Linked DNA regions of Arabidopsis thaliana. The protein of the gene in region 1 purifies or fractionates together with the protein of each later gene. This does not show direct contact. Each region holds a gene or a part of one and is shown on either strand. Other genes may lie near its edges. The genes, in order: EMB2753, La1, AT4G18330 and EIF2 GAMMA.

Region 1 (5,789 bases):
AGAGATCAGAAAATAATGAAGGAACACCCTGAGACAAGTATCAAGAAATGTAAGAACATATTCAATTAGACCACTGTCTAAACAAAGAGATTCAAGGGAATGAAAAGATACCTTTGTCAAAAGAGGTTTAATGTACTTTGCTACAGCCTCCTTAAAGTTCTCATCTTGCAGAAAATCCAATGGTATCCTCTGAAATGGGGAAATAGAAAATAACTTAATACCAGTTTTAGAATTTTACGTATCAGCAGCCAAAAAAAACATCAGACGGGTAAAACATGGGTAGCCACTACTAGCTCCCTATGAAGTAGAAGGATACTAGAAAATGTATTACACTTCAGGCACTGATATGCCTTATCTCACCTTAACAGCGGATGACCGAGTGTACTGCTCACTTAGAGACTGGTACAAAGCATTTAACTTTTCAATCTGGTCGGACGAATATTGACCACTTTCTGAATACAATCCAAGGCATTTTTGGAGGCCCTCATGATATCTGAAAAAGCAAGGAATGCACTTTTTATTTGTTTACAAAAAATTGACAGTACCAAAAATATATAGAAGCCTTTGAGAGTAGCAAAGGTATAGACCGCCAATGCCAAAGATAATGAAGCAGGGCAAACAGATGTGACAATTGAGAAAAACGAAAAAATACACAGATAATTTCTTTAGAGCTACTTTGAAGTGCAAGGAAAAAACCTGTAATTGTCAGGGTTCATGGAAAGTAAAACCCTGTAGAGTTTATTGGCTTCTTCTAGACGACCAACCTTTGACAAGAGAGATACCTCTTGTTCTTTGTAAGACAACTTATCAACCTACAAACAAGCAAACGAGGAATGTTAAATCTACTATTATGTGTGCATCCTATTATCCAAATACATTCAACCATCAGTTTTGTGAACTTACTATTTTCGGCTCTTTTTTGTGCAACTCCTCAAGAGCTTTGTCAAAAGAACCACTCTCCTCAAGCAAGGAAACCTGAAACGAAAAAAAAATCCAGATGAGATTTCCTGCAGCTACAGCTATGAAAAATGTGCTAATGCCAACTGTAGGTTGCTCAAACAGGGAAGTTTCAGGGGGAAAGAGTGAACAGAACACCACCACTCCAGGTGGCTTGGAGAGACTTTCCAGGGTTCATATCCAATTATACTTGAGAGAGTTATGCTTTTGTCACAAAAGAATACAGGTGTGATTCACAAAATGTATGATACAAGCAGTAAGCCATATTTTGTATCAACCAACTTGTACTTTTGGTATTTTCGTCAATAGGAGAAAAATGTGTGAAACCCGTTTAGGCAAGCATGATTTTTCAGGGAAAAAAACTTAGAAAGACAACAGTCAATATATGATAGTTGTAAAGTTTCTGGTTGATACCTTGTATAGAATCATTTCTGTGTGTTCAATTAGCTCGTTCTCAGGAGGATAGTCATCCTCTAAGGTGCCTTCATACGCTTCCAAAATTTCAACAGCTTTAGAAGCACTGGTTTCAGGAGAAAATAGAACAAGTTAAGAGATCAAGGTTGATATACATGGCTAGCTTTTACTAGTAAAGAAAAGATGTTCACAGAAAATTCTACTGTATGTTCATTGGTATATTATTTCCTAAAAATCTGATGCAAGATTCGTACCAACATAGGCATCCACTATCTACTCCTTAAAGTGTTCAAGACTATAATTCCAAATCATATGCCATTAACCAGCTAGCCAATAGTCCAAAGAGGAAAAACTAGCATTCCATTCAAATGAGTAAAGTGGTTTAACATATTTAGATTTATGGGGTCAAGGACAATAACATACTTTGCGTTTAAATGCTGAGAGACTGCAAAGCCAATCCAGTTCATTCGGTGATTAGGCTTCAATGTCAAAAGCTGCTGCCTGGTCTCCACAAAACCGGATAAGTCCCGCATTTGTGCCTAGGAAAAAGAAAGTAACCAATATGATTAACTATTGAAAGCATCAAAAGAGATTAAAATTGGAACAAGCTTTACACAAAGTAAAGTGATAAAAAGTATGAAAAATCAGCTTTGAGAATAACTGGCACACCTAATAAATTCACCTCAATCTAGTTTTTCTCATAATTACCTGCAGAAGTGAGAGGTCTCTGAGTATTTCAAGGTTATCAGGATCTATTCTAAGAGCATTTCGGTAGCATTTGATTGCTTCTCTATACTCTCTGTCTGACCGGTACAAAAGACCAAGCACATGCCAGCAAACATGGCTTTTGATATCATTCTGCATGAAAAAATTTGAAGTATATAAATCCTATGTTACCCTGAAAACAAAATACCATTTTGGAAACTAAGGAATAAAGTTGTGATTATTGAAGAGCATATTCAAACCTTCACTCCAAGTCGAACAAGCTCATATGCTTCAGTTTTGCGGTCCATACAGTTTAGAGTCAGTCCTTTCATCGATAAAGTCTCTGAAAATCACAAACAATAAGAGCGACAAGTTTTAAAAGAAAGAAAAGAATAACGAAAAGGGTTGACAAATCAAAAAAAGCAAGAACTGCGTTTAACACGAAACAGAACTGGTCTCTACTAACAAAACTAAACAATACCAAGCATTACCCTTGTACTAAAAAGTTAATTTATTTGCTCTAATAGGAAGAAAGAAAATAAAAATTCTAACAGTGATTGATTCTTAAGACTATAGACAAGACAACGAAGCGCCTAGTAGACCTACAAGTCATGAGATCTCGGTTGATGTATGTAGTATAGAGTTGTAAGTATTTAGATAGCAGTAAAAAGATTAGCACTAAATCACAAAGGAATAGAAGGAGATATTAGATAAAAGACAAACTGACCTCCATGATCAGGAAACTTTTTTAATATGGCATCAGCTGCCTTGAGTCCCTTCTTGTACTGCTTAGTCTCATATGATTTCTGCATTATAAGATTACTCAGAATAACTATATATGATGTACTTACTTGCGAAAATTACATAAAGAAAAAGGTCAACTATTCAAAGCAGGTTGAACAATATAATGGTTAAACCCAAAATCTATGCTGAAACCATATATATATTGATAAAGCTTGGTTTTCAAGTTCTTCAAAGTAAACTACGAATCCCTGAGCGACTAAAAAAGCCCAGAAGCAATCGAGGTCTAATAATAGCCGATAGTCAAAAGTAACTGAAGCTAAGAACTTGGTACATCAAATTAACACATTAAGGAACCACAACTCCGCACAGTTTACTTCATATGTCAACGAATTTTTCTATTGACCCAACACATTGACGATTAACTTAATTTAGGGTTTAATAGAGCAGATAAAACTCATCGTATTCCAATTTCTGCTGACCAGGAACATCACATCGCATGTTTAAGACAAAGTAAAAACTGAGAAAGAAAGAGAGGGAATCGGAACATACGACGATGAGCTTGAAGAGGTTGGCCTCCTTAGGAGGAAGCGAAGCCCCCATTTTATTGCGCTACTGAGAGAGCTCGCGAAGACGAAGACGGAGAAGAAGAAGAAGAAGATGTTCTTCGCGAGTTCGATAGGGTGAGAGAGAGATAGAGGTGGCGTACTATCCGCTTCAACCCTACTGCGAAACAAAGAAAGGCACAACTCTCACAAGACAAAACCCAATAAGGGTATAAATAAATTAGGGTCTTGTCTTCAATCAATCTTCTTCGATCCTAACCATATCGGTACATGTTTCCGGTTTCAATTCGTTTGTCTGATATTACAAAACGGTTATTAAATTGGATAGAACCAAACCGGTTCAAAACTGGAGACATCTGAACCTAATTGACCAAATCAAATTTGTATTAACCGATCAAATTCATCGTCAATCGACACTAAAAAGTATCAAATCAAACCGACTTATTAATTGCAACCGATTACATCTCTCAATCGAATCCAAACCAGCATAAATAAATTCTAATTAGAAACATTCTTTCCGAACCAAGCAGACCGGATTATTTCAAATTTTTATCAGTAATAACATCCTACTCAAACCGAACAAACCGAGTATAACAAGAATTCTTGGAATTCCTTAAGAGATCATATGCAAAATGAAACAAGTTTGATCTAAAGACACTCTAAAGAAACGTTCCTATAAGCAAGTTCGATCTCTTCTTCAGTCATCTCAACGGTCATATCACTGTCATAGCCACAAGCAACCCGAGAGGTCGATTCATCTTCGCCCGGTTTTGCTAGCTCAGCTTCGTAGATCTTTTTCCACGACTTTGCTTGTTTGCAAACTTCTTCCTTTGATGCTGTTGAATTTTCCTTTTTAGAAGACGATTCCATCTTTCCAAGCTCCTTCACTACACGAGGGACAAAGCTCCATAGCTCTGTAACTGATCCAATGTCCTAAAATTAAGAACATTCGAGAATAAATTCAACCAATGATCTTCTCAAAGAAACTGATCAAAGTTTAACAAATCCAAAAATGTACACAGGCGGCAACTATTATTGTTCAGACTTCAGAGATATTAACCTGCTTCTGTTCAAGAGAATCTATGGCGTCTTGTAAGCAGGTTAAGACTCCTTCCGCAGCTATTCGCTTGATTTCGCCTGGTTCTGGCTGTTACAATGGCTTTAGAATAACGGAAACATACAATCAAGAAAACATGTCTTTTGAAAGAGCATATTAATTCCCTTACTTTTTCCTCCTGACTCTCAAGCCATGAGATGGTTTGACTTAGGTCATCCCTGGCCCATTTCTTCACCTCTGTAACAAAAAATGGCTCTTTCACAAGATTGCAAGCTGATCTATTCTGTGAACATATGGAAATAAACAGTCATAGACCATTGATTGGAGCAAAATACGGTTCGTTTTGGTTAACCAAATCATCAGATTTAAACATGCCTTGGATGAGGTAGATGGTGTTCCCCTTGTTTCTGTTTTTTTCTCTACTTGCTTCTCTGGTTTTTTAGACAGGTGTTCTCTCTTTTCTGAATACAATCAATTAAGGTTCACAGAGTCAACTAAACATCGGAGTGAAGCAGTGCAATAAGAAAAGCTTTTCTCTTGTCATAAACGTAAAAACAAGGTGATTTGATGAACCTCAGGATGGTTAAAACGGAGATTCTATCTAAAGCCTTTCCAATATAATTCTTTTTACCTCGATTAGCATCTTGGGGACTACTGCTTTTCCTCCATGGTTTTCCAGCATGCATAAGGTATTGCTCGATATCTACCAACTTCTTCTGCGCATAACACTCAGTTATCCACTCCTGGAGACAGTGAAATCATATAAAATATCAGCAAAAAGGAGAAATTCAAATCCGCACACAATCCCTTATAAGAAGAGTCAAAGAGGTAACCTTTGAGATAATTGTTCCACCATTTGTTTCAACTTGACGGAACTTTGGAGTGTTAGGAAAAGCACAAATCAACAAGGTAGAGCCAGCGTTCCAGTCAGGTTGATAGGTGGCTCCCATTGTCAAGGCTTGTGACCTCAGTGTACTCCTCTCAGGATTAACAAAGCCCGAAAGTACAAAAACAACGCCTTCCTGCATAGTTTAACCTTCAACTCAATCACAAAAGCATATAAACTAACATGACAGCTTAAGATAATTGAGTCTCAACAAGACCATGAAGACACACACAAACCATAAGTTTAGAGAATTCAGTGGTATTTGAACTTGGCTCGGCGTGTTCTGACTTGTTGGAAGGGGCATTTCTACTGTTGTGCTCTTCGGTTGGTCCTTCATCCTTAGGCTTCTTACAATGAGACTTACTCGGAGTAATCTCGGGATCCCTAGAACTCATCCAAGAAGGAAGATTTCGCTTCTGAGACATCTTGTCCTTTACAGTGGAGAGAATACTAACACAGCTTT
Region 2 (5,944 bases), on another chromosome or scaffold:
TGTAGAAGTGGAAGCCAAAGAACTGTGTAATAGAATAGAAGACATCGATGGAAATTGTGACTTTGAAGGAGAGAAGGGGTGCTTGAAATTCATGACGAATAAATATAAGAAAGAAAGACATGTTAGCTGCACATGTACTAACCTTTACATGTTACACAAGACCAAACGTTTTTGCGACTGTAAACATCGCTGCTCAGGATAAACTCCCCTAACCAACATTGCTTTTACCTATTTTTTAGTTTTTACTAATAGAATTGTTATGAGTGTTTGTAGTGTTGTCATTTTCATGACCCATAAATAAGTTATGTTATTCTAATGTATCTCTCTTTTTCCACACAAATTTTTAATAAAGTTATGAGTTACTTCTTTCTAAGTAGTTAGTATGAGTTTTCCAATCAATCTATTTTCCACGTTCAGTTTTCCAAATTGTATTGATCCTGTTATAGTGTAATTACGCATTTTGTAATTGGCCATGGTACTACAATACTAATACTATCATGTTATCTGCAGACTTCAATCTTTTATTTTTAAAAATTAATTATTAGCATTTGTAATATTGATGTAATTTTAATACAAACTGTTTATTAATTTGTTTGAAAACTTATGTGGACAAATAAAATTAGTATACAGAACAAAAAAATATGTTTCAATACCAAAAAAAGTTCACTCCCTAAGCTTTTCTGTCTCTTAAGGATAACATCCTGGATGAGGTCTCTCGATGATTCCCCCCACATACAACATAACCATATAAAAAAAAAATCATCAGCCAAGTGAAGCCTCGGGAACAGTAGTGTGAACCTTTGGATCCTTGGCCTATCGTCAAATGATCGACGACGGTCGAGTTGATTGATCCTACACAGTACACAACCTGAATGTTTTCCCATAGCATCTCTGCTTCATCTATTCCTTGCTAGTAGGATTGATCCCAGAAAACCATAAATTTGTTTTATAAAGATTGAACGTTTGTCTATAGATTAATTTTCAATGGATTAAACATTGTAAATTAATGGTCTTATGGATTTTGTGAGTTTAGATTATCAAGGTTAGAACTGTGTATTTTGAAAAGAATAGGTGATGCGTCATCACAATACACGCAAAAAAAAAAAGTGAAAAATATATAATACTAGTAAGTAGATTTACAAAGAAGAATTTTTCCAAAAAAGAAAGAGTTGATCCGTCGAACTCGTTAATTAAGAAGGCTCGTTGAATTTTACAAAGCAAATTCTAAAAAAAGATGCATCTATTTTTACGATATCTCGAATATATTTATTATGAGTGTTGTTGATAAGAAAGATAAAAAATTCGAGAGGCAAACAATAGTTTTCTGCAACTATAGAGATAATTAATAATTCTTATCAGCTTTTCAATCATGAGATCTGTTATTTGGTTTATAGTTTCTTATACTCTCATGTTACTCGTTCTGAGAGGTGGTAAAGGTAATATGTTGAGTTTTTTTTGTATGGACGTAACTCGTATATAATAAGATATAAAACAAGGATGTTCTTTCTAATTGCAAAAACGGTGTTGTGATTAAAGGAAATAAAAAGCATTGTTACAACGTTAACATATGGTTTAATAGTGAACTTATTTGGATTGTCATTTGTTTATTAATCGAACTAAAATTAACGTTTTTTTTTTTTTTTTTGGTTTGTGTGGTTGAGAAAACAATAGAAGTGGAAGCTGAGAAACTGTGTACAACGATAGGAGACTTGGACGGTAAATGTAGCCAAGACGGAGAAAAGTTGTGCATGAGATACATGACTGATCAATCTAAAAAAAAGTTTCTTAGCTGCACATGTAATAACGTTGTTATGTTACACAAGTACAAACATTATTGCGAATGTCAATCTCATTGTACTCCAAAACAAACGTAAGCTGTAACTCTATAATCAATATATCTCTTTACAACTAAATAAGAATTGTTGATAGAGTTTGTAGTGTTTTCACGACTCAAAAATACAAATGTTGTGCTGATTGAAGTATGAATTTTTGGTTCAAGTCTTGATCTTGATCATTGAAAAAAATCGTGAAAATATTGATCAATTGCCAACGAAAAGACGTAATGGGGTGAATCAGATAGTGTAGGATTATTTGGGGTAATTTTGTTACATTCTAAAGTATAGTGGGTGGGGTTAAATTGATAGTATTAAAAAAGTCAAGGGTTAATACGAAATACAAATATAATCAATAGCGAAAAACCAAAAAATAAATAAATAAATGACAATTTGACTCGAAAACTTTAAGAGAAAATGGAAACTGTGTCTCAATAAACCCTAGTACCCTTTTTCTCTCTTATTCTTCTATCTTCCTCCTCCTCTATCTTTCGCTCGAGCCATTGAGCAATTATGTCGATTCCTTGTCTAACCGAAGAGACAGCCAAAACTGTTCTTCGCCAGGTACAAACTTGTCTTCTTCTTCTTCTTCTGCGGTTCCTCTCTAGTAGCTTCACCAGTTTTTTTTCTTTCGATTATGTTCTGATATTTGATATCGATTTTATAGGTGGAGTTCTATTTCAGTGATAGTAATCTACCCATTGATGATTTCCTCAAGAAGACTGTTACAGAGAGCGAAGATGGCTGTAAAGTTTTAAACTTTTAAACAAATTCAGTCGCTATCGCTGTGTATTTTGATTTTTTTTTGTTATGGCTAATTGATGATTTTTTGGTTTGTCAAATAGTGGTGAGTTTGGCGTTGATTTGCTCCTTTAGTAAGATGAGAGGATATTTGAAGTTGGGTGATTCTAAAGGAGATGATATTCCTGAAGATACCATCAAAGCTGTTGCTGATACTCTTCGAACCTCTTCTGCTCTCAAGATTTCTGACGATGGTGAGTTTCATGATATAATCAAGTTTCTGTTGGGTTTGGATATAGTTAACAATTGCTTTAATTGATTCAAACGAAGTAGTGATATCTTAGAAGAAAGATAATAGTTTGAGAGTTTCAATTATAGGTGAATGGCCTGTGTAGTGCATAGTTTAAACTTAGTTTCATTAAGAAAAGTCTTTGCATGTGGATTTTACAAGTTTGATAATATGTGGTGTCAGATTGGAGAAATATGTTTTGTACAGTTTAGTGATCAATTTTGTTGGATTTTCTTAAACAGGGAAAAAGGTTGGTAGGAGTACTGAATTGTTGAAGCTGGAAGATTTGATTGAGCAACTTAATGCTAGAACAGTAGCTGCGTCACCTTTCTCCTATGATGTTAAAAGGGAAGACGTGGAATCCTTTTTCAGTCAGTATGGAAAGGTAATCCACTATCGATTGAATCATAAGCCATTGTTCAAAATTTAGATTGGTTATACAAGTTTTTGGTATATGTATGTGTCGTCCTTGCAGGTTAATAGTGTGAGGATGCCTCGTCATGTTGCAGAGTCGAGGATATTTTCTGGTGTTGCCTTGGTTGAGTTCCCTACAGAAGAGGATGCCCAGAATGTTATGAAGCAGAATTTGGTCTTTGCTGGTCAGGAGTTGGAGCTGAAACCAAAGTAATCATACTTAGACATGAAAACATGTCCTGTTTGCTGACTGTTTCTCATTTTACAAGTCTTTCCATTGAATGTTTGGATGGGTTACTTAAAAGGTGATATATTCTTTTCAGGAAAGAGTTTGATAATGAAAGGGAGAAGGATGAAGTAAAATTTGCTAATTACCAACCTCAGAAGGGATCTGCAAATCAGAAGAATGGTTCTGATCACAAAAACAATTCTGCTTATGAGCCAGAGTAGGGGTTTGACTGTTGCTATCTAATTACTTGTCTTTTCATGCTAATAATCCTCTTGATCTGATTATGGCTATTTTATCGTATTGTAGTTATCCCAAGGGTTTGATCATTTCATTCACCCTCAAGCGTTCAGCTGAAGAGGGTACCACGGAACAAAAAAGTTCTGAGGAGCCAACTGATAAGACAATGGAAGAAAGTGAAACAAAGCCAGCAGATACTCCTGATGCTGATAAAGAAAACACTGGTGAGGTTCAGGCCGAGGGAGCAGAGGATGAAGATGATGAGAAAGAAGAAAAGGGTGCTCTAGCCACCCATAAAGATAATAAGGATGTTGTCTTACGTGAAGATCTTAAGGCTGTTTTCGGAAAATTTGGTGATGTCAAGGTACTACTTGAGTTTTACTTAGCTGTCTGTCAACATGAATCAGATTCAATATCTCATATAACTGACATCATTTTCACTGATTCCTTTATTCTTTTTGTTGTGAAGTTTGTTGATTTCAAGATGGGATCTGAGACGGGTTATCTTAGGTTTGATGAACCTGAAGCATCCCAGAAAGCCCGTGCAGCAGCAGTATTAGCCAATGAAGGTGGACTAGCCGTGAAGAATTTTATTGCTGTCCTAGAACCTGTTATTGGTAAAAACACCTTTTCAACTTCAATCTTATCTTATAACTAAACCTTGTGTTCTGCTTTAGTTAAATGGTCACTTGTTTATATTGCTCTCTGTCAGGCGAAGCTGAAAAGGAGTATTGGACTCTCCTACGAAGCAAAGATCGGTTTGACAAGGGTGGCCGTGGAGGAAGGTGAGTTCATGTTTTTGTTCTGGTTTCTTTGTTATGATTTTGTTTCAAATGAAGTTTTTGTTTGGTTCTTCAGATAATAATATACTTGGTCTATGCAGGGGAGGAAGAAGAGGAGGGAGATTCGGGAGAAAGAGGGGATCAGATTCACCGGGTGGTCGCTGGAACAAATCTCAGAAGGTGGAAGCATGAGAGATTTCGCTCGTGACTGCTTCTGTTTTTCAATATATTTCTAGTTGCAACTTTAAATTTAATGTATCGACTGGTGACTCGTGATGTTATAACTAGAAATAGCTGCTTATTTGGCAAATTTTGGTTTAGTCATATTTGGTATTGTTTTGTTTAGCTTTATGTGCCTTCTTATGCACACATCTCTTTCCTTAATTATTTTAAATCGATGTTTAGGAAGCATTCTAAAAGACAAACTATTAATATTAACTGCTAAAAGTATATTCCTGTAAATTCTACAACTGTATCAATTGACTCACTGATGATGACACTATTTTACTTGAAGTAGTTAAAATTAATTTTGAAAATCAAATAGTTTTGGTATTCTTCTTGGTCTTCTCGTTTGACTTTGTCTACATTGTTATTAGGTTTTTATGCTGATTTTAGAATTAGCTGTTACTGGCAATTTCATCTTCTTCCTTTTTAATGAGAAAAAAACTCTTCTTTCATACAAAGAATGCTTTGCCGTTGTTTAGAAGAAGAAGCAACAGAGAATCTCGAAAGAAAAATGAATGAAGAAACGTATAAATAAATAAATTGAACTTTTATGATATGAGAGACTAAAAAGCGAGATTCAGAGATTGAAATCAACGGCTGAGATCACTTTCCTTTTTGTTTTGATCTCTCTCTCTCTCTCTCTCTCTCACTTCGAATTCCGTCCGCCTCTCCATGTTTGAGTTTTGAATACCTCTCTCTCTCTCTCTCATTCTCTCTCTCTCTCTCTCTCTCTCTCTCTCTCTCTCTCTCTCTCTCTCGACTTCGATTTCGATTTGTGTTCTTCTTCTTCTTCATCTGGATTCTCAGCGTCTTAATTACTTCAGATTAATTTTGGAATTCGTTGATCTGCAAGGTGTGAGCTTTACTCGTATGACCTCGTCTCCTTCTCTTATTATGGTCACATTTTTGTTAGTTTTCACGGAGACTTCTTCCTGATTTTTCAAAAATCTACTCTTTGAACTTCTCTTACTTTTTTTCGTATAAAGTTTCGATTTTCTTCAGATGATGTTCGAAGCTTTTTTCTCGAGGTTTTTGTTTTGGGTTCTGAAACTAATTCGGGCTTCTTATCTTAGGTTTTTTTGGATCCAATCTCAATATCTAAAGCTACCTTCTTCATTCTGTGAACTTCTTCCTTGTTTTGACTTTAGTTTGCTCTTTTGCTGTGAAGCTAATGCTGATTCTTAGTCTGAGTCCG
Region 3 (4,974 bases), on another chromosome or scaffold:
CGATCAGTCAAGTTTAGTTTTATAGAATAAAATAATTCAGCTGCACGTAAGGAAAAATAAGTACTTTCTGAAAAATCAAAGGACACGAACAATCAAACATTAGTATGCAAATTATTTTCATACACTTGACCGTCAAAAATGCACTGATCAATGCACCGGTCATTCCGAACAAAAAAGAAAAAAAAATCTTTAAAAGATGAAAAATACAAAAGTGCGACGAGAGGAACAAAATCGTTTCACGTACGACGTATCGGCAACGATATCTAGGGTTGTGTAGAAAGATCGCAAAAGAGAGTAGTAGCGGAATTAGGGTTCTGGTTATGGCATGGAGATGAACCGGAAGGAGGTACGAATCCTTTGGGAAGCATAACCGAGAAAGTATCCTGTCGAACCGGACGGTTTAAACCGTTATTCTTCTTGGCCATCATCTTGAAGTAGCCAGCACGATGATGAAGACCACGGCGATGACGAAGAGTATGTCGATAGTAGTAGTAGTATTGGTGATTGTAACGACGACGACGGTGGTTGTCTCGTTGCAACCGCTGGTTCAAGATAAACGGTGTCGTTTTCTTGATGTAGACGAGTTGGTGCGGTGATTCGTAACCGTTGAGATAAGCTTCCGTTTTTTGTGTTGATGATACTCTTGTTTCTTGATTCGAAGATGATGATGATGGTGAGATGAGGAAGACGAGAGTGAGAATAAGAGAGACGATGAAGCTTTTTAGAAGACTCTGTTTCATCAAAACCAAATCTTCCATTGGGATTGAAAGAGAGTATAGGGTTTTGGCTGAGAGTAAGAGAGAGCGTAAAGATGAAACAAAAGCTCAGAACGAGGAGGGAATTAGAATTATATAATTCCTAATTAGTGATAAGTAATATCATTAATGAAATTATGAATTTGTTTTTTAAATTTTCGTCAATGTTGTGTTAAATATGAATATAGTTTTATATTGTAGTCGAAAGAAAGTGATTAAACATACAAAGGCACATGTTAATTATTTTTGAATGCAAACAATATAAAAAACTCATCACTACTTCATTAGAAAGGAGGAGGAGGAACATCGATGGTGGTTCCAGCCATAATCTGACCCTTACCAATTAGACGCCAATGCCTATCGACACGTCGGCTTAAAGCAACCTTCTCTCCTATGGTGGTACACACCGGAGACGTCAGTTGGAGTTTCACCATATCTTTCTTGACTCCAATAACCTTAGCTCCCGTAGACATAGACCCGATGTTCACCATCAATATCTCTTCTTTGGTTAGCTTTGACACTTTCATTTGCTTCTCTTTTTCCTTTGTCCTCACTCCAATGAGACGAGTCAGAAGCTGGTAACTTACTTCAAGCTCAACAAAGACGTCAGGGAGAGTACCCATTTCACCAAGGACTTGACCAACCAACCTATCAGCACGCGTAAGCGTAGGGTCCATGGTTGTTCCAACTCCGATTAGACCTCCCGGTACAGCAAACTGAAGCTCGTTCTGTTCCGCGTATAGTGAAGTTATACGCGAGTAAATTGGAGTGCATTTTGAGTTTCCATGCTCATCTTTGCCAGTGATACCAGGTCTAATTTCAATCAGTTGGTTCACTTTCAAAACACCCAAACAAAGAGAGACACATATTAATACTAAATTGTTTCACAGTCAGGTAAGAACAGAGGAGAAACAGAGAGATAAAAACATACCTGGAGGATACTTCCACCAGCAACACCACCTTTCATTTCATGACCCGCCGAGCCAGGTTTATTGACATCGAAAGAACGAATCACAATCATCTTTGGTGGTGACACAAAGTCTCTCACAGGGATTGGAATCTTCTTGACAATGTATTCACTCACAACATCAATGTTGTATTTCAGTTGTGCTGAGACAGGAACTATAGGTGCATCCTCAGCATTCGTGTTCTGCAACATTATATATGTGACAGAAAATATGAGAACCAAACTGATGAAGTCATGAAAGATTTAACAACAGAGAGATAAGAAAATTGATCAAACCGTTATAAATTTCTGAATAGCCTCGTGCTGTTCAGTGGCGGCTTTCTCATTAATGAGATCAATCTTGTTCTGAAGGATTATGATATGCTTAAGGCGCATCATATCAACAGAAGCAAGATGTTCAGCGGTTTGTGGTTGTGGACAACTCTCGTTAGCAGCAATTAGAAGTAAAGCACCATCCACGATTGCTGCTCCATTGAGCATTGTCGCCATAAGAATATCATGTCCCTGATGAATAAAAAACAACTCAGTTACATATAGCCAATGGTTCTAGTTTTGAGAGACAAAGTGTAAATTAAACTCATTAATACCGGACAATCGACACATGAGACATGTCTCCGTAGTGTCATCTTGCAATTCTCAAATCCGGGGACATCACAAGTTGGGTTGTCTTCTTTTCCACTCCCATATGACCTAAAATTAACAGATTAGCTGCTGCTACACATAATAACACTTAGCCTTATTATATCAAAAAGAAGATTATGACTCACTTGTAGCACATTGGTCTAGGGCACTTGTCATCCTCACACTTGTAAATCTTTGCATTTGCATAACCAAGCTTAATGGTAATGTTACGCTCTAATTCATTCTTAAAACGCACAGTCTGAACACCAGAGATAGCTTTCACTATAGTCGATTTACCGTGAGCGACATGACCAATGGTTCCTGAGATATATTTAGCACAGTATTGGTTTCTTTGACATCAAGTTATACTATAGACCTAGAGGAGCTGGCAAAAGCAGAGTGTAATTTACCGATATTTATGGTTGCTTGGCGAGAAATGACTTCAGGAAACAGAGGATGTAACTTTGTTACATCAAGCTTAGTTAGATCTTGCTCCGCCAAACCCTTGTTACGCGAAATTAACACAGATTGAACCATCTTTAATCCTGCTAAAACAACGAGATCAATGAAAATTCTGAAATCGATATTAGGGTTTATATACAAAACGATTTCATGCATACCTTGGTTTCTGTTCACAAAACACCACAATAATTTCGATACTCAGTCGATTCCGACAAACCTGAGTACTATAAAGTCTCGATTTTGTTTAATCAGTCTCTTACACTTTGTTGTCCGAAAAATGTTGAGCTCGCTCGATGACAGTTAAAGATTTGTAAGATTGGGGAAGAAGTTTACACGTGGAAGGTAAAAAATGTAGGGTTTTGTAAACCTTTTTTTCATTGCCTTATGATTAACTAGGCCCATTCTTATTATTAGTAAAACCATTAGCACCCAATACGGCCCAATATTGAAAACCTGTAAATTTAAACTCGAATTTGTAATCGGAGTTGAGTTTTTTTTGTAGAGGAGCCAAATAAGAGAACATCTTTTGTAGAATTTTTCATTTTACTCTTTGCTAAACAATTTTTTTAAAAAAAATATGTTTTACATATATTAACGAAGAGATGTACACCGAATTAAGAGTTCTTTGTTTGTCTATTAAGTTTAACGTAAAAATAAACAATAAAAGATCAGCATTTTTATAAACAAACCAAAGTAGAGTTTCTAACGAAACCACAATGAGTAGAGTTTGCAACACAATAAATAGAAATTAATACTAAAAATCTTAAACCACACAAATAAAAGATAGATAACGAAAACAATCACAGAGAAATAACTTAAAGAGTCAAGTGGTAGAACATTAGGCTAAGCGCGAACCTCAACCCAAACTCCGTCAGTGTAAGAAACGATTTGGTTGTTAGCACCCCAAGTGCGGTTTTTCACTCTCTCGCGATCAGTTTTAGTGCCGATAATGTCTAGAGTTTGTGGAAATATCTGAAGTCGATGTTTGATCTGATCAAAAGATTGGCCGTGGAAAGGATTCCATTCGATGGTATCATTCTCTTGAGTATTTGAGACATTCCAATTTTGGGTTCGGAAGGTGAAGTCAAGAGTATGGCCCCATAAAATAATTGATATTTTGTCCACAGATGGGGAGAGGGAATCTATAGTCGAACCACAAATTGGATGGTTGAAGGTAGGGATACGAGTCACTGACCAGTTCTGATCCCAGTCTCCGTTACTCTTGGCTACATAATATATTTGTCGACTAGGAGCATGCATATGCGCTATCACCATATGATTATTTTCGTGAAAGCTATCGGCTAGGAGACAAGCATAAGTGTTGTCTTGACGGGGATCTCCGGTGAGCACACCGTAACGGATCACACATGGGTTATCAGTGGTGAGAAGGGGTAGTTGGTACCGTTGTGAAGTGAACGGGTTGTATAAGAAAGCTTGGTGGTCTTGACGTCGGTGTATGGCACTGGAGTTGGACATAACAACCCAACCCAATGTTGATCCTAAGAATTTGGCCCCTTCAAGATATGGGTCTTTCCCATGATGTAGCTCCTCTCTCACAGGGTCATAGAAATGGGCAACTCGGGATCCCCTTTCACGGTACAACAACCACGGCCTTTCCTCTACGAAACCTCCTTCACGGAAAGAAAGAAATGTGTTCCTCCAATGAGTGTTGACACCTCTTAGTGCCCCACCTTCGGTAAAGTTAGGGTTAAGCAAATTTGTAGAACTTCTGAGGAGATCTTGAGGCAAACTTCCCCATGAATCCCTGCGAGAGAAACAAATTTGAGAGAAGTGAGATGAGAGCATAAACTATAAGAATTAACAAATAAGAACTGGAAGATTATTTTTTTTTTAAAGATGTTCTCAAAAATCCCTCCAAAAAATGAGATGAAACCAAGAAAAATAATTTTGAGAGAAATGAAATCTGATAGCAGAAGGCAGAAGCTATATATATGAGTTACGAAAAAATGGAAGAAGTTTTGTTGCTAGCTACATTTTCAAAAACAAAAATCATTGCAAGAAATGAGTTAATCTGTTTATGGAATGATAGCAAGAATATATTAAATTGTGAGTGGGAAGTTTGTTTAGATACATTTTGAAGAGATCGAGCAGTCTTTAAGTATTTCTTGTTTGAAGAGAGAAATTTCGTTTGAGAAATATAATAATGTG
Region 4 (6,208 bases), about 29 Mb from region 1:
AATTATTATTATGTTTTTTAAAATGAGTTTAACACTTTTTTCAATTGGATGGCTTTATTTCCTTTTTTTGTTCCCCTAAGGATTAACGGTCACATAAGGAATTTAAAACCTGGAGCGGACGCTTTTTCCCCGCTTCAAGAAGGAGCGCCTCCATTACAAAGTGGAAGCTATTGGTGGAAGAGAATTTGGCTCTGTGGAAGGGCAAGCCAATAGAAGGTATTGTGGAGCAAGTGCGTGATGAAAGTACCATTCGGGTTTATCTTCTTCCAGAGTTTCAATTTGTGCAAGTATTTGTTGCGGGAGTCTAGGTAACTAAACTTGTTTCCCTGCATGAAAGGTTGGCATGTTAACCCATCACTTTGGAACACAGTCAGCGATTCTTCTCATTTCAATGGGAAGGCGAACCACAAATGCAAGTGTTGTTGAGACAGTTCCAGATGAGCCGAATGGAGACTTGCTGCCTCTGCAGTCCCGTCTATGTAACATAAGTTTTCGCACGGATATACACAGTGGAAGGCAAGACACTCAATTCAAATCGCAAACAAATAACGTTCTTTAGAGAGAAGACATGAACATTTTGACTAAAAAGTCGTATTTATTATAAAAAGTCGTACTTGATCGGATCCTAATGAGTAATGAAGTTGTTCCTTTTCTGAAGAAAGTATGTATAGTCAAGTAGCAGAGTATCTCTGACAAAAATTTCAAAAAAAAAAAGAGAGACAACAAAATTTAGTAATATCTAAGAGAAAAACACAAACAAAGAGCAAACTAGTAACAATAACAAAGAGCAAACTAGTAACAATAACAAATCAGGTACTGTTTGAAGATGTTTAATCCGCAAAGACGAACTCTCCAAAATCCCCCAACGAGAAAAAGAGTTTTATTATCTTTTTGAGGGGTTTAACAATCTTTTTTTCAGAAACACAAACAAAAAGGACAAAAATAACACATAGCTTAGAAAGGTGAAGGAGGAACTTCGATGGTGGTTCCAGCTTGAATCTGACCCCAACCAATCAAACGCCAATGCTTTTCCACACGTCTGCTTAGAGCCACTTTCTCTCCTTTGCTGGTACAAACAGGCGCAGTCAGTTGCAGTTTAGCCAGATCGACTTTAACTCCTACAACTTTGGCTCCAGTGGACATCGAACCAATGTTGAGCATCAGAATCTCTCCTTTCGTTAGCTTTGACACTTTCCCTTGTTTCTCTGATCCCTTTGTTCTCACTCCCAACAAACGTCGTAGAAGAAAGAAGTTCACCTACAGATTTTACATAACCACAAATTAAAAGGAGAAAATACACTAAGAGACCCATTAGGACCATAAAGACTGAAGAGTATGGTTGTGAGGAGTTGTTTATACCTCGAGTTCAACAAATACATCAGGAAGTGAACCGATTTCACCAAGGACTTGACCAACTAATCGATCTGCACGAGTGAGAGTTGGGTCCATTGTTGTTCCAACTCCTATTAGACCTCCAGGAACAGCAAACTGAAGCTCGTTCTGTTCCGCGTAGAGTGAAATGATGCGAGAGTAAATTGGAGTGCATTTTGAGTTGCCACGCTCGTCTTTGGTAACGATACCAGGTCGGATTTCGATTAATTGGTTGACTCTCAAAACACCCTACAATATACATGTAGTTAAGAGATACTGATTACACCATATAAAGCTTGATGTACTTAAGAGGCACAACAAGAGAAAGGGAGAGAGAGAGAATAGATACCCGTAGGATACTTCCACCTGCAACTCCACCTTTGATCTCATCAACCTCATAACCAGGTTTGTTGACATCAAAAGACCGAATCACTATCATATTTGGGGGTGACACAAAATTCCTCTCAGGGATTGGGATCTTCTTGACAATGTACTCGCACACCACATCAATGTTGTATTTCAGTTGTGCTGAGACAGGGACGATCGGAGCAGCATCAGCAACAGTGTTCTGCAACAGGATGTGAAAGAAATTTTAGAACCAAGTTCTTCAATACTTAGCTTAACCAAGTGACGAAATGAGAATGCTACAACAGATCCTTAAGAGATAAGAAAACCTAACCATTATAAATTTCTGAATTGCCTCGTGCTGATTAATGGCAACATTCTCTTGAATAAGATCAATCTTGTTCTGAAGGATGATGATATGCTTAAGTTGCATAATCTCAACGGCAGCAAGATGTTCAGACGTTTGTGGTTGTGGACAAGTTTCATTTGCAGCGATTAAAAGTAGTGCACCATCCATGATGGCTGCTCCATTAAGCATTGTTGCCATGAGAATATCGTGACCCTGAAGAATAGAACAAGAATACATTCAACAAGAATGAAGTAGAGATAAGAAAAGCAAAAGATGGAAACATCAATGAATACTTCTCCATCAACCCTCACTCTTTAAGCCCTTCACCCAATTAAATGAGAGACCCAAAATCATGCAGGTGGAGCACAACAACATCGATAATACACAATAAACGAACAGCTCATTGACACATGAAATGGTTATACACTTATACTATCAAATGAAAATGGTAATTAATGAAGAATAAAGATAACGGTAAAACTCATCATACCGGGCAATCAACGAATGAGACATGCCTCAATAGTTTCATCTTGGAGTTTTCAAATCCGGGGACATCACAATTGGGAGTGTCTTCCTTTCCACTTCCGTAGGCCCTAATACAACAGATAAGTTGTTAGACCTTGACTCAAACCTTATAGTAGAAGTAGAAGATAAAAACACTGTTGTAAGAAGGACTCACTTGTAGCACATTGGTCTAGGGCATTTCTCATCCTCACATTTGTAAATCTTGGCGTTTGCATATCCAAGCTTAATGGTAATGTTACGCTCCAATTCATTTTTAAAACGGACAGTCTGTACAGAGAAGATAAGGAAACCATAGAAATCACTTCACCCACTCCAATTGATCAAACGCTGCAAGCTAGAAAAGCCTCTAGGATTACAATTGTGAAAACCGCATAATCAAATTTTACCTGGACACCAGAAATAGCTTTAACAACAGTGGACTTTCCATGAGCGACATGACCAATGGTTCCTGAAACATAACACTATCATCTTTAGCTTATAGGAACTGCCAGTTTCTTCAACATCAACTTATATAAAAGACTCAAAAAAGCGTTACCTATATTAATAGTGGCCTGGCGAGAAATGACCTCAGGAGACAGAGGATGTAGCACAGTTACATCCAATTTTTTAAGATCTTGCTCAGCCAAACCCTTGTTCCTCGACATTATCAAAGATTGAAGCTTCTGCTCCTGCTTAAAACCGAGCATCAAATCAGAACCCTAACCCTAGTTAATCTGAAAAAGACTACTTCTCAGGTTTTTCTACATCTGCCCTAATCAAGTCGACACACAGATTCTATACCTGAGCTCCGTTACCTAAATATCACAATAATTTCGATTCGCAATCTAAAAAAACATTATGATTACGATTAGATTCCCCGAACTAATCTTCGTGCGATAGAAATGGGAACAATTAGGTTGAACAAATATTGAATCCGTAGGAGATGTAATTCGAGATCGAAACGAACCTGAGCGATGCGAAAGAACAACGGAGAAGGTCAAATTTGAGAGATAAAAAAGAGTGAGAAAGCGGCGCAGCTTGAAGAAGATGCACAAAATGGTTTTTTTTTTTCTATCCAAGTCCCTAAAGGGTTTTTGGTTTCCTTCGCGTAACCTTTTTTTTTTTTCCCTTTCTAAAATTTCTTACAAAATAATGAAATACTAGTATTTAATTAAATTACTATCAGTAGAGACTAATTTACTTTTTCTATGAATCAAAGTATCAAACCCAAAACATTTCATCATATTAATTTTATGTGCAGGGCCGGCCCGACTAAATTTAATGCCTAAAAGCAAAAAACAATTTGGCCCAACATAAAACACAGTTAAACAAAAAAAACCATAAAACTTTTAGAATTCGAACTTGAGACAGACACCTCAAGTGAAAGGCCTATTTGCGATCGACTATAAGCGTTCGTGTTCCTCTATCTCTCTCGGGTTTGTCAATTTATCTTTCCGAACCAGTTATGAATTTGTTTTTTTTTGGAAGGTTTTGAAGTCTTTGAATCTCGGCTGTTGAAGTCAGAAACGTTGGTTTTAAACCAATATCACCAGGTGTAATGGAGTTTGATTGAGTCCCAAATTTTTTAAAAAAAAATCACTGAAAAGAGTTGGGGCAAGTTTATAACAAATTAAGTAGATTAATTCTGTACAACAACAACAAAGGATCTTCATCGTGTAGAACTTGAGCCGTGAAAAAAAAAAACCAGATAATAATCTTGGGTCTAAAATGGAGAAAAAACTTTGAAATGGGGTCAAATAAATAAATGAATGAATTGGTGAGAGAGAAATCACAGAGGTTTTGCAAGAAAGAAACAACCCCACAAGAAGTAAAAATTTACACTTTTGTAATCTTCTTTCCTTTTGGTTCAAGAAGGCACCCCTCCCCCACTCAGACTAAAAAGAAACAGAGGAAGAGCTTTTTTAGAATCCGAGCTTCTCACTAGTGCAAGAATACGAATTCTGGGTTTTCCAGTAGCTCTTTGGCCGGTTTGACACTCGCAAAGTCTTTTTCGTGCATCGAATTCGAAATCTCGTCTATTGAGAAGGGAATGCTGCGAACAATAAACCGGTTTTAGTTTCTACTACTGATATTAATCTTTAAGAAATGATTCGAGTTACCTGGAATTATCATCCAACAAGAAGGAATTGCTGTCGGCATCGTTGGATTCTTCTGTCATGAGCGCACGCATGCTCGATATTACCTCTTGAGACACACTTCGGGTGTTATAGCAGTCGTCCCAGTATAATGTGCATATCCGGTAAAGTTGTTGGACACTAAGGATCTGTAATAAAGTGAAACAAGAAAGCCATTAAGTATGGAGTCTAGGCAAAAACGTGTTTCTAGAAACTAAGAAGGAGCTTTACCGGGCAAAGATCATGTACTATATCATCGTATGATACTCTGTACTTCTGGTGGATAACCTGATAAGTTACGAGAGGAGAAGTATTCGTTTTTGAAGATTCAAGAAACAAGAGTTCCACAAGTTAGTATTAAACAAGAGTAAAACATACCAGGAACCCAACAGCTTGTCTGATGTGTTTCAGTTCATCCCAAGATGGCCCAGCATACTGCAAAATCAAAGAATGATATAATGAGCCGAAAGAAACTTTTTCCGGAAGGAAAACGTGAGGTAGGAACTTACTTCATTGACTTGGCCGCACCACAATTCTAGCTCTGCAAGCCCAGACTTTACAAATTCTCCATTGCTGAATGTACAACACTCTTTACGCAGTAGAAGGCTATTGTAAGATGTTAAGGAAAAAACCAAGTAAGAAAACACTAGTGATCTTGGCTTATATCTTCCATAGGAATTTGAGAAATATCAACCATAGGAAGGTTTGTACTTTGACGAGTATCGATGATAAGGTGTGTAGAAACCATTAGATGTAATTCTCAAGTATTATTTACCTGTTAAATAGTTGCACATTGACGAACGAGAAAGTTTGAGTGTGTATCTTCTGGATGAGTACCAAAGGAACCTGTACACCATGAAACATATGAGAATTTGAGGATTTGAAAACAGAATAATGTCATGGAACTTTTACTATTTCCTTACATAATTATCTTTCAATATGGCAAGCAGCGAATTGAGACCATCAATAATGCTCTGCCAGTGAATAGCAGGAGAATCTTTTCCAAGAGATCTAGCAGATCTTTGTATCCCTCCTTTTGAAATTCTCGGTGCCTGAAGTTCAAAGTTTTGACAGAACAGGACTTGTTACAATAGTAAAACACATTTATTATCAAGGTGCAACGCAACAAGCGAGTGGTCACAGCATTAGGATACAACAACGTAAAGTCAGGACAAAAATATATAGCTGCAAAGAGAGAAGTCAATGAAACCTGAATGCACATAGATATTAAAGCTGAGAGCTCTTTCTTCAAGTTATCCCTAATCATCCCAAATATTTTCTCCACATATGCTGCAAGCTGTTGCTTGAAAAGCAGAGCCGGGTATTTTGCCTCCACTGGGCGGATCACCGCAAGAGCAGCAGCTTCAGCCGCAGCAGCAAGGTTTGGTGATGAGCGGAAGCTCTGGTTAAACAATAAGGGAAAGGATAGTTAAGATTCAAAGTAAAAGATCCGTCAAAAAGCCCTACTAACACAGAAAGTTAAAATACCAAGGCCATTCTTCCA

Evidence for each region.
Region 2: the proteins of EMB2753 (region 1) and La1 fractionate together in Arabidopsis thaliana (co-fractionation; one large-scale study listed by BioGRID). This does not show direct contact.
Region 3: the proteins of EMB2753 (region 1) and AT4G18330 fractionate together in Arabidopsis thaliana (co-fractionation; one large-scale study listed by BioGRID). This does not show direct contact.
Region 4: the proteins of EMB2753 (region 1) and EIF2 GAMMA fractionate together in Arabidopsis thaliana (co-fractionation; one large-scale study listed by BioGRID). This does not show direct contact.

Annotation. Positions count from the first base shown.
Region 1 is NC_003070.9:30,231,413-30,237,201, forward strand, and holds the start of EMB2753 (tetratricopeptide repeat (TPR)-containing protein), read right to left. Parts: upstream 3,574-5,789; 5' UTR 3,421-3,573; coding exon 3,370-3,420; intron 2,883-3,369; coding exon 2,804-2,882; intron 2,420-2,803; coding exon 2,337-2,419; intron 2,230-2,336; coding exon 2,080-2,229; intron 1,911-2,079; coding exon 1,795-1,910; intron 1,478-1,794; coding exon 1,372-1,477; intron 976-1,371; coding exon 904-975; intron 813-903; coding exon 697-812; intron 494-696; coding exon 361-493; intron 190-360; coding exon 112-189; intron 29-111; coding exon 1-28. Other genes in the region: ATXRCC1 (BRCT domain-containing DNA repair protein), read right to left, coding at 4,032-4,316, 4,444-4,530, 4,610-4,723, 4,816-4,901, 5,072-5,183, 5,274-5,462, 5,563-5,751. UniProt on the Arabidopsis thaliana protein: Auxiliary subunit of the NatA N-alpha-acetyltransferase complex. Required for male gametocyte development, embryogenesis, suspensor development and the formation of the quiescent center (QC) in the root meristem.
Region 2 is NC_003075.7:15,784,968-15,790,911, forward strand, and holds La1 (La protein 1), read left to right. Parts: upstream 1-2,226; 5' UTR 2,227-2,345; coding exon 2,346-2,396; intron 2,397-2,499; coding exon 2,500-2,578; intron 2,579-2,677; coding exon 2,678-2,827; intron 2,828-3,104; coding exon 3,105-3,247; intron 3,248-3,337; coding exon 3,338-3,486; intron 3,487-3,599; coding exon 3,600-3,722; intron 3,723-3,811; coding exon 3,812-4,106; intron 4,107-4,211; coding exon 4,212-4,359; intron 4,360-4,454; coding exon 4,455-4,527; coding exon of another isoform or gene 4,528-4,531; intron 4,532-4,625; coding exon 4,626-4,716; 3' UTR 4,717-5,029; downstream 5,030-5,944. Other genes in the region: SCRL25 (SCR-like 25), read left to right, coding at 6-202; SCRL24 (SCR-like 24), read left to right, coding at 1,370-1,436, 1,672-1,874. UniProt on the Arabidopsis thaliana protein: Binds to the 3' poly(U) terminus of nascent RNA polymerase III transcripts, protecting them from exonuclease digestion and facilitating their folding and maturation.
Region 3 is NC_003075.7:10,124,653-10,129,626, reverse strand, and holds AT4G18330 (Translation elongation factor EF1A/initiation factor IF2gamma family protein), read right to left. Parts: upstream 3,049-4,974; 5' UTR 2,964-3,048; intron 2,892-2,963; 5' UTR 2,881-2,891; coding exon 2,754-2,880; intron 2,665-2,753; coding exon 2,490-2,664; intron 2,413-2,489; coding exon 2,310-2,412; intron 2,227-2,309; coding exon 1,999-2,226; intron 1,906-1,998; coding exon 1,687-1,905; intron 1,604-1,686; coding exon 1,040-1,603; 3' UTR 893-1,039; downstream 1-892. Other genes in the region: AT4G18335 (uncharacterized protein), read right to left, coding at 264-758; AT4G18320 (uncharacterized protein), read right to left, coding at 3,649-4,611.
Region 4 is NC_003070.9:1,094,449-1,100,656, reverse strand, and holds EIF2 GAMMA (eukaryotic translation initiation factor 2 gamma subunit), read right to left. Parts: upstream 3,776-6,208; 5' UTR 3,537-3,775; exon of another isoform or gene 3,371-3,536; intron 3,259-3,370; 5' UTR 3,235-3,258; coding exon 3,126-3,234; intron 3,039-3,125; coding exon 2,977-3,038; intron 2,858-2,976; coding exon 2,745-2,857; intron 2,659-2,744; coding exon 2,556-2,658; intron 2,279-2,555; coding exon 2,051-2,278; intron 1,940-2,050; coding exon 1,721-1,939; intron 1,621-1,720; coding exon 1,360-1,620; intron 1,258-1,359; coding exon 955-1,257; 3' UTR 756-954; downstream 1-755. Other genes in the region: XIB (myosin XI B), read right to left, coding at 4,511-4,622, 4,690-4,853, 4,936-4,992, 5,083-5,139, 5,214-5,310, 5,480-5,550, 5,628-5,756, 5,915-6,106 and 1 more.